Linked DNA regions of Tribolium castaneum. The protein of the gene in region 2 interacts with the protein of the main gene of each other region in a pairwise test. Links are inferred from orthologs where the notes say so. Each region holds a gene or a part of one and is shown on either strand. Other genes may lie near its edges.

Region 1 (3,548 bases), about 14 Mb from region 2:
AGGGGGCGTCTCGGTGAAATCCAGCGCCGGATTAATATCATTTTTGAAGCCCAATTTTTTGTAGTCCCGTGTGAAACCACCCGGCCCTCGCCCACCCCCCGCCCCTTCACTATCAAAGGCAATCCTTCGCAGCTCCTTGATCTTATCATGGCCATCCTGATCTTGCGGATCCATCTTCGTGACCATCCTCTGTTCAAGCAGCCCCAACATCAAAGTCTGTAGAACGTACAACTGGTGGGCCATCTCAGCCCCTAAGGCAGCCCCCGTTTGTAAAATATGATTCTGAATCATGCTCCGCACCTGCTTCGTTGTGAGAGTGGCTGCCAAAGACCTGCGTTTGACTGAATCAGCCCGTAGAAGTAACGCGTTGATTAAAGCTATAGCGTTTTGTTGGACGACCGGTGTGGCCTGGAGGTGCCCCACCAGCGAACCAATAGGTATCTCACGTTCCACCTGGCCGTAGCCTTCAGTACTATTCAAAACGACGTTTTCCAAGATTGAGAGAGCGGCTTGAGTGACTTCGGCTTCCTGGGGCGAGTTAACAAAACTCGCAACGCGAGTTATAAAATCCCCGTTGAGGATGTCCCACGACACGATCCCGTGTTCCATCAGTTCGACGAAGGAGAGTAAAGTGTGGGCCAGAACAGCCCCCTTGAACTTACCCGTCTCGATTTGCTTAATTATTAAAGTAAGTCCTTGCTTGTTGATGAAATCCAAAGCGAACGTCATGTCGGCGCTTAGGTTTGAGAGACGGTGCATTGCGTGTGCTTTCTCTTCGGCATTTCCGTTGTGCAGTTTGTGGAGAATGTCCTGAGCTGTCTTCGAAGGTGAGTATTGGAGACGGAGCACCGAACCGTTCTTAATTTCGTTGCGATTCTTCTCCGTTATGTAGTTACGGTTGTTGTTATCGTTGAATTGAAGGGCGTACTGTTCGGGGTCGCTGAGATTCCATCCGTTGCACAGTTCTTGGATTATGCCGGCGAGGGGCTGCTTCTGATTGAATTCGATGAGTTGTGGCACTTGGTCGGTCATTTCGACCGCGATTTTTACGATGTACGAGTCCTTCATTGCGGGCATTTTGTGCGCACTTGAGATTCAAAACATTATTACGCGAGTTTTGCGTTACAGGGTATTTTTCATAAATACAACATTTTGACAAGAATGACAGGAAACGGGATGACACGCCTATCAGCAGGAACGCCAACACAATCCAACAAACAACATTTGACAAAAAAATTATAAAATTATGCAATTTTGTAAAAAATCTCTTTGTTAAAATAATGGATTTTTCTAAATTTAAAACCAATTCCAACTAATGTTATTAAATAGAATTTCTTCAATGATATCATAACAAGTATTTTTGTTGGGTTGGCGACAGTGGGCAAAGTCAGCTGTCAAGTCACAATAATAATTTCGAATTTTCTCGGTTTTTCACAAATTGTGACGATGTTGACAACAATAAAGACCGTCGGGAGCTGTTTGGTAATTGTCACGGCTATTTTAATTAAAATTTCTATTGCTTCCGTCAATATTGTTACATAACATAACCTAACATTTTAGCGCCGAACTTTGGGGGTCCGTTCCCTTCAAACTGCTTCAACCCTCCAACATGAAGCAGTTTTCAATCATAGAGACACTCCTGAAGACAACCCCGATATCCCTTTTGATTTCACCCCCGAAAACAAGAAGGTATGTACCTACAGGGTGTCTCAAAATTGGGAAATTTCGAATTTAGAGCGCTTAAGAGAATTATTAAAGTAGCTCAAATATAGAAACAAAATAAAAATTCGGGGTTTTCAAATAGAGATACATTTATTTAAAGATGCAATTCAAGTGCACTCTGTATTGGGTTTCTTCAAATGCAGGCTAAAAAATTTCAGTTATTCTCAATTCATTAATTAATTATTCTTAATAAATTATTCTTTATTCTTAATTATGGTGCAGATGATTGTGGAGAATAATAATGTTAAACAATTTTTCGAAAAAATAGCTTTATTTCGGAGCAATTTTTTTTAATTTTTGAAAGTTTTCTTAAAAATAAAACGGCAAATACAAAAATTTATAATTTTTTTACTTAATTTTATAAGAAATTGTTTTACATTATTATTCTCGACAATCATTTACACTATAAATAACAATAAACACTAAAACTTTTAGCCTGCATTTGAAGAAAACGCAATTCAAACCTACATATCTTTGTGGGGAAGCCCCGAAACTTAATTTTTTTCTATATTTGGACTACTGAAGTAATTCTCTACAACGCTCTGAACTTGGAATTCGCCAGTTTTTAGACACCTTGTATACTTGAAAAGCTTGAATATTTTTTTTGTAGAGAGCTGATGCCATTCTTGCAATTTACCCTGAGGGACATAAACGAGCCGCGATGATCCCCCTTCTTGACTTGGCGCAAAGACAACACGGTTGGCTCCCTATTTCAGCTATGCACAAAGTTGCTGAAATTTTAAACCTGCCAAGGATGAGAGTGTACGAAGTTGCGACGTTCTACACAATGTTTATGCGTAAACCGACAGGAAAGTACCATATCCAAGTTTGTACAACAACGCCGTGTTGGCTGAGAGGCTCTGACGAGATTTTAGACACAATCAAGTGTAATTTGAAGTTGGAAGTTGGGGAAACTTCGAGCGATGGCATGTTTACACTTTCTGAAGTTGAGTGTCTCGGGGCGTGCGTGAATGCCCCCATGATTCAAGTTAATGATGATTATTATGTAAGTTGTATCGAGTCACATAAAAAAAAACGAAAAAATTGATTCTAGGAGGATTTGACGGCCAAAGATACGGAAGAGATTTTGAACGATTTGAAAAATAATAAAAAACCAAAACCTGGCCCCAGGTAAATATTTCATGCCTTGGTGATAGAAAAGTAACTAATTAATTAATAGGAATGGCCGTTTTGCTGCTGAGCCAATTGGCGAGCCAACCTGTCTCGCCGGTGAGCCCCCAGGTCCAGGCTTCGGGGTCCGTTCCGATCTATAATTTGTATTTATGTAAAATAAAATGAATAAAAATAGTTGAATTGGTGCTAGCGCCCTTGTGGCCATCTTTTGAATTATAGTGACATTTGGAACAATTAGTGTGTTTTTTATTAGGTTGGTGTTACAGTTGGTCACACTGTAGCACGATAATCGCTCCCGTGGCGTCTTTTATAAAAGATAAACAAATTCTTTCACAACAAATTTAAATTTTCGTGTCGCAGAAATGAAACGTAAAGGACGGAAAAGCAAAAAGTCCGAGACGGAAACCGCCAACGGCGTGAGTGACCAGAAAGACCAAAACGGTGACGCTTCGGATCGGGACGAGCACGAATCCGAACCGGAGGAAAAAAAACGCAAGTCTAACAAACGTAAAAGTTCTTCGAAGAAAGTGGAAGATGAATCGGAAGAGGAACCGCAATATGAGGTGAGTTATGTAAAAATTTCTTGGCGCCTTTTTCTTGAGCTGTGTTCGGCGAAGATGGCCATCCACCATATTGTTTTGCTCATACCGACCATGTTATTTGATTTGATTGATTGTCTCTCAGGTTGAGCA
Region 2 (4,226 bases):
TTTATGTGGATTTTTTTTTATTAATAGGCATCATGAAATTATATAATATTTAATTGTATCTGTTTTTTTAGAAAGTTTACACAGTAGGCGCTAGTAGATAAGTAATTAATCTCACGAGAATAATAGTTATTTATTATACAAGACGATAAAATCTGATTTTAACTATGAGAAGGTTTTGAGAAGATAATGGTGCATTTTATCGTGTAAAATACAAAATTTTATTTCTCCTCCATTTTTTTCGATTATTTCGAATTACTGAGTTATTTTGATTAACAATTATAAACATTAAGAAATTTAACAATAAAAAATACTTTAAAAACAACAATAGTTGCGAACTATATTTTTCTAGGCGACAAAATTCCGTTTTACCATAAAGTAGACAGTGGATAAAATACGATTTTATCCAACCAAAAGCATTAACACACTCGGCTTCGCCTCGTACTACTTTTTCGTTGATAAAATTCGACCTTGTTTCACAAGAGAGTGGAATAAAGTAAAAATAATTTGTCGATTTTTCGAAAACTAAAATTCTTTAATTTTTGGGTAAGTGTCATACTTACCTCAGTTGCACTAAATTACAGATTCCATCTGGTAACTTTGTTAACAGGTTATGCCGAGCCCCCAAGGTTTCCAACTTTGTTAAATTACCAATTTCTTCAGGTAAAGACTCCAGATAGCAACGGTTACACCATAATGTTTCTAACGAAGTTAAATTTCCAATATCTCTAGTCAAGTCTTTAATCGGATTATGGCTTATGTTTAGAGTAATCAACTGAGGCAAATCCTTGAGTACTTCAGGGAAACGATCGAAGTTATTGTACTCCAGAGACAAATTTTGCAAATTCTTGAGCTGTCCGAGACACTTGGGCAGTTCAGTGATTTGATTATGACCAATGTTTAGATATGAGAGGTGGACACAGCTCACCAACAAGGGGGGAAATTTGACAAGGTCGTAATCATCTAGCGCTAAATTCGTTGCTTTAGTTCCATGAGCTTTTTCTATTTTTGCCAAAACCCGGTTTCGCTGAATGTAATCGTACACTGGATTCATTTTTGGAAGCATTTAGAGGTTATGTCGCACAAACTCACTGATTATTTACACAACTTGTACACAAGCACACATTTTTGAATAAATAAGAATCCAAAAAAGAAAACTGGGGGCCCGAGCCCCTACACCATTCCCAACACAAAAAAACACACAAACAATAATTTGTTTGTTGTCACAAGTGGCGCTTTGACATTTGAAGTAGTTCAAATCAACCAAACATTTTCGTATCATATGGTTCGAACGAAACAAACAATAAATAAAATAAATAACAAAACTGAAAAATTAGCGTTCGTTTGTACTTAATTTTAGTATTCTAAGGTCTACAGTTTTAATAAAAGAGGTCGTAGGTTAAAAAACACCACAGTAGTTCCATTGGTTGACACTTGTCACTTGACTGAGTTTCTTTGACCGGTTTCTTTTGCTTTTGTGTTAATTAATAATTGACTGGAAGCTTAAAGTTATTGCCTGTGATTTAATTCAACTCAGATTAGTTTGTGCAATGGCTGGAAATTTTTGGCAAAGCTCACACCAGTAAGTTACGATATGAAAACGGCCCCAAAATCACAAATGAATTTTTTCCAGCCAGCAGTGGCTTTTGGACAAACAAGATTTAATTAGGGAGCGCCAACATGATCTCCAACTCCTCACGGAGGAGGAGTACCAAAAAATATTTATATTTTTTGCTAGCGGTATTATTTATATTAGGTTATTATCAACTCTCTTAATTTATTTTTTCAGTCATTCAAACACTAGGCGAACAGTTGAAGCTACGCCAGCAAGTTATAGCAACCGCAACGGTTTATTTTAAGAGGTTTTATGCAAAAAACTCACTTAAGTGCATCGATCCGTTATTGTTAGCCCCCACTTGCATTTTTCTAGCCTCCAAAGTAGAAGAATTTGGGGTGATTTCCAATTCTAGGTTAATTACAACGTGTCAGACAGTCAGTAAGTTAAGTCACAGTCTCCGTGATGGTCTTAGATGGCTGGTCTAAAAGTTACCAGATATAATTTTCCCAAGTTTTTGTTAAAAAAATTACCGAAAAGCATCCAACTTCGGAACTACGGATATCTAAAAGTTAGGATATGGTACGACGTACAAATAAAACGTTCCTGTCCTTGATATTTCCGTTAATGCCGCCAGAGAACGCTGTTGTTCCATTACCAAGGTTTTCAGAGCAATAAATTTGAAAAAATGGTTGTATTTGTATAACGGTTAACACACAGCAAACAAAAAAAATACAGGCAAATAGAGCATTAAATTCTCAATAGTAGGACATAAACATAATGCAAAAATTTTATCATAAACTATATTTAAAAAAATTTCAAACTTTTACCAATTTGCACTCTGTCCCATAATTTTCAAAACGCTGCGAATACGGTTACAGATATAAATAAGTATATACTATTTTTATTCGAGGGACAAAAATTGGATAAATAAGTCACGTCGAATTTTTTTGAACTTAGGGATCAAATTTTATAAACAGAAACTCTTGAAAAGATTAAAAATATATTACCGGACAATCGTTTAATTTTTTGAGATAAATTGCTCCAAAACTAAAATTAAAAATGTCTATTTAATGAAGTATTGTTTATTATTAATTGACTGATCCAGAAATACTGTCTGTTGACAATACTGAATTAAAATTTTAAATGTTCAAAATTAATTGAAATTTGGTATATGCCTGAAAGTAAATTTATTCATCGAATTATTTGTTTAAAAAAAATTTCCATTTGTTCTGGGAATATTAAGACTAGCTAGTCTCATTGGTGAACCCAAAAGTCAAATTTAATATTTTTAATTATTTATTAATTTAATTTAATTTATTATGTAAAAAAAATATCGCACTAAAAAAATTGGTCAGCTTTGTAAATCTTGTCTTTATCTAAAGATAGCTCGTTGCCGCCTCAACTTTTACCAAAAAATAAGTAAAAGTTAATAATAATTGAAAGAGAACACATTTAATAAAAAAATGAGTTGTATTAATACTTATTAGCGCCACTGTATTTATAAGCATTGGTTGTTCTTCGTTAATTTATATGCTAATATCTAGCTTTCAAGTGTTCAATTTTCTCTAATAAATGTTTTTTTGTAGTTACGACTTTTTTGCTTAGTAACTTCAGCAATTTTTTTATTTCAATTGTTTTAAATTGAAAAATAGCGCTCTAAAAAGATGTCTATAAAATTGCGTATCAATTTAATTTTTTTCATTAAAGTTCAAAAGCATATAACATAAAGGTGCGATTTAAAGAAAATTTAAGAATCACGAAATAACTTAAAAATACGTAAAAGTAGTTACAAGGTTTTTGTTTAGCAGGTCAGTTTAATTCTCTACAAATTTCTTCCTAACATTTTTCTGTATCTTTAATTGTATTCGCAGCGTCTTCTTAAAGCACAAATTAAATAAAAAAATTCTCATGTTTGTCATGAAACTTGTAGTCGTCAGTCTTTCTTAGTCTGTTAAGAGTGCAAAACATTTCTACATTTTTTCCACGTTATTAATGAATTGGTTGGTTTTAAATTAATTTAAAACGATTTGGCGACAAGACGGTATAACGCTCGTAGCGCCCTCAGTTTTACTCTGCCGTACTATTTTTGGTCTCCTAACTTATAGTCCTCCGTATTCAGAACATACCACTCAACAGGGCGACCTCTCGCGGTTATTTAATTAATTACAGTTTAAAAATCCAAAAATTAATATTATATTCTGTCGTTAATAATTTCAAAGCCGTCTAAGATCGAAGGAGGCTAAGTTAAAACTAGCTTTTTTAAACAATCTATTTTCAGTTAAAAATAAGTTTAGTTACGCCTATAGTCAGGAATTTCCATATCGTACGAACCACATCCTAGAGTGTGAATTCTACTTGTTAGAAAACCTCGACTGTTGCTTGATCGTCTATCAGCCTTATAGACCTCTCTTACAACTAGTGCAAGACATGGGTCAAGAAGATCAACTTTTGACTCTCGCCTGGAGGATAGTGAACGATTCTCTTAGGACTGATGTGTGTTTGCTTTATCCACCATATCAAATTGCAATTGGCTGTCTTCAAATAGCTTGTGTCATCTTGCAAAAGGACCACAAGGCTTGGTTTGCCGAACTGAACGTGGACATAGAACGAATTCAAGAAATTGCAAGATACGTTATTAATTTATTCGAGCTGTGGAAGACTTACGACGAGA

What was found.
Region 1: the proteins of CycC (region 2) and ND-24 interact in binary tests that used the Homo sapiens proteins (3 or more experiments, as listed by UniProt). The link is inferred for Tribolium castaneum from reciprocal best matches to the Homo sapiens genes CCNC and NDUFV2.

Annotation. Positions count from the first base shown.
Region 1 is NC_087394.1:22,608,548-22,612,095, reverse strand, and holds ND-24 (NADH dehydrogenase [ubiquinone] flavoprotein 2, mitochondrial), read left to right. Parts: upstream 1-1,325; 5' UTR 1,326-1,446; coding exon 1,447-1,482; intron 1,483-1,560; coding exon 1,561-1,689; intron 1,690-2,332; coding exon 2,333-2,728; intron 2,729-2,776; coding exon 2,777-2,853; intron 2,854-2,902; coding exon 2,903-2,996; 3' UTR 2,997-3,041; downstream 3,042-3,548. Other genes in the region: Ced-12 (engulfment and cell motility protein 1), read right to left, coding at 1-1,077; chromobox protein homolog 1, read left to right, coding at 3,219-3,419, 3,541-3,548.
Region 2 is NC_087394.1:8,425,926-8,430,151, reverse strand, and holds the start of CycC (cyclin-C), read left to right. Parts: upstream 1-1,418; 5' UTR 1,419-1,547; coding exon 1,548-1,579; intron 1,580-1,630; coding exon 1,631-1,737; intron 1,738-1,786; coding exon 1,787-1,993; intron 1,994-3,833; coding exon 3,834-4,226. Other genes in the region: leucine-rich repeat-containing protein 1, read right to left, coding at 561-1,063. UniProt on the Homo sapiens protein: Component of the Mediator complex, a coactivator involved in regulated gene transcription of nearly all RNA polymerase II-dependent genes.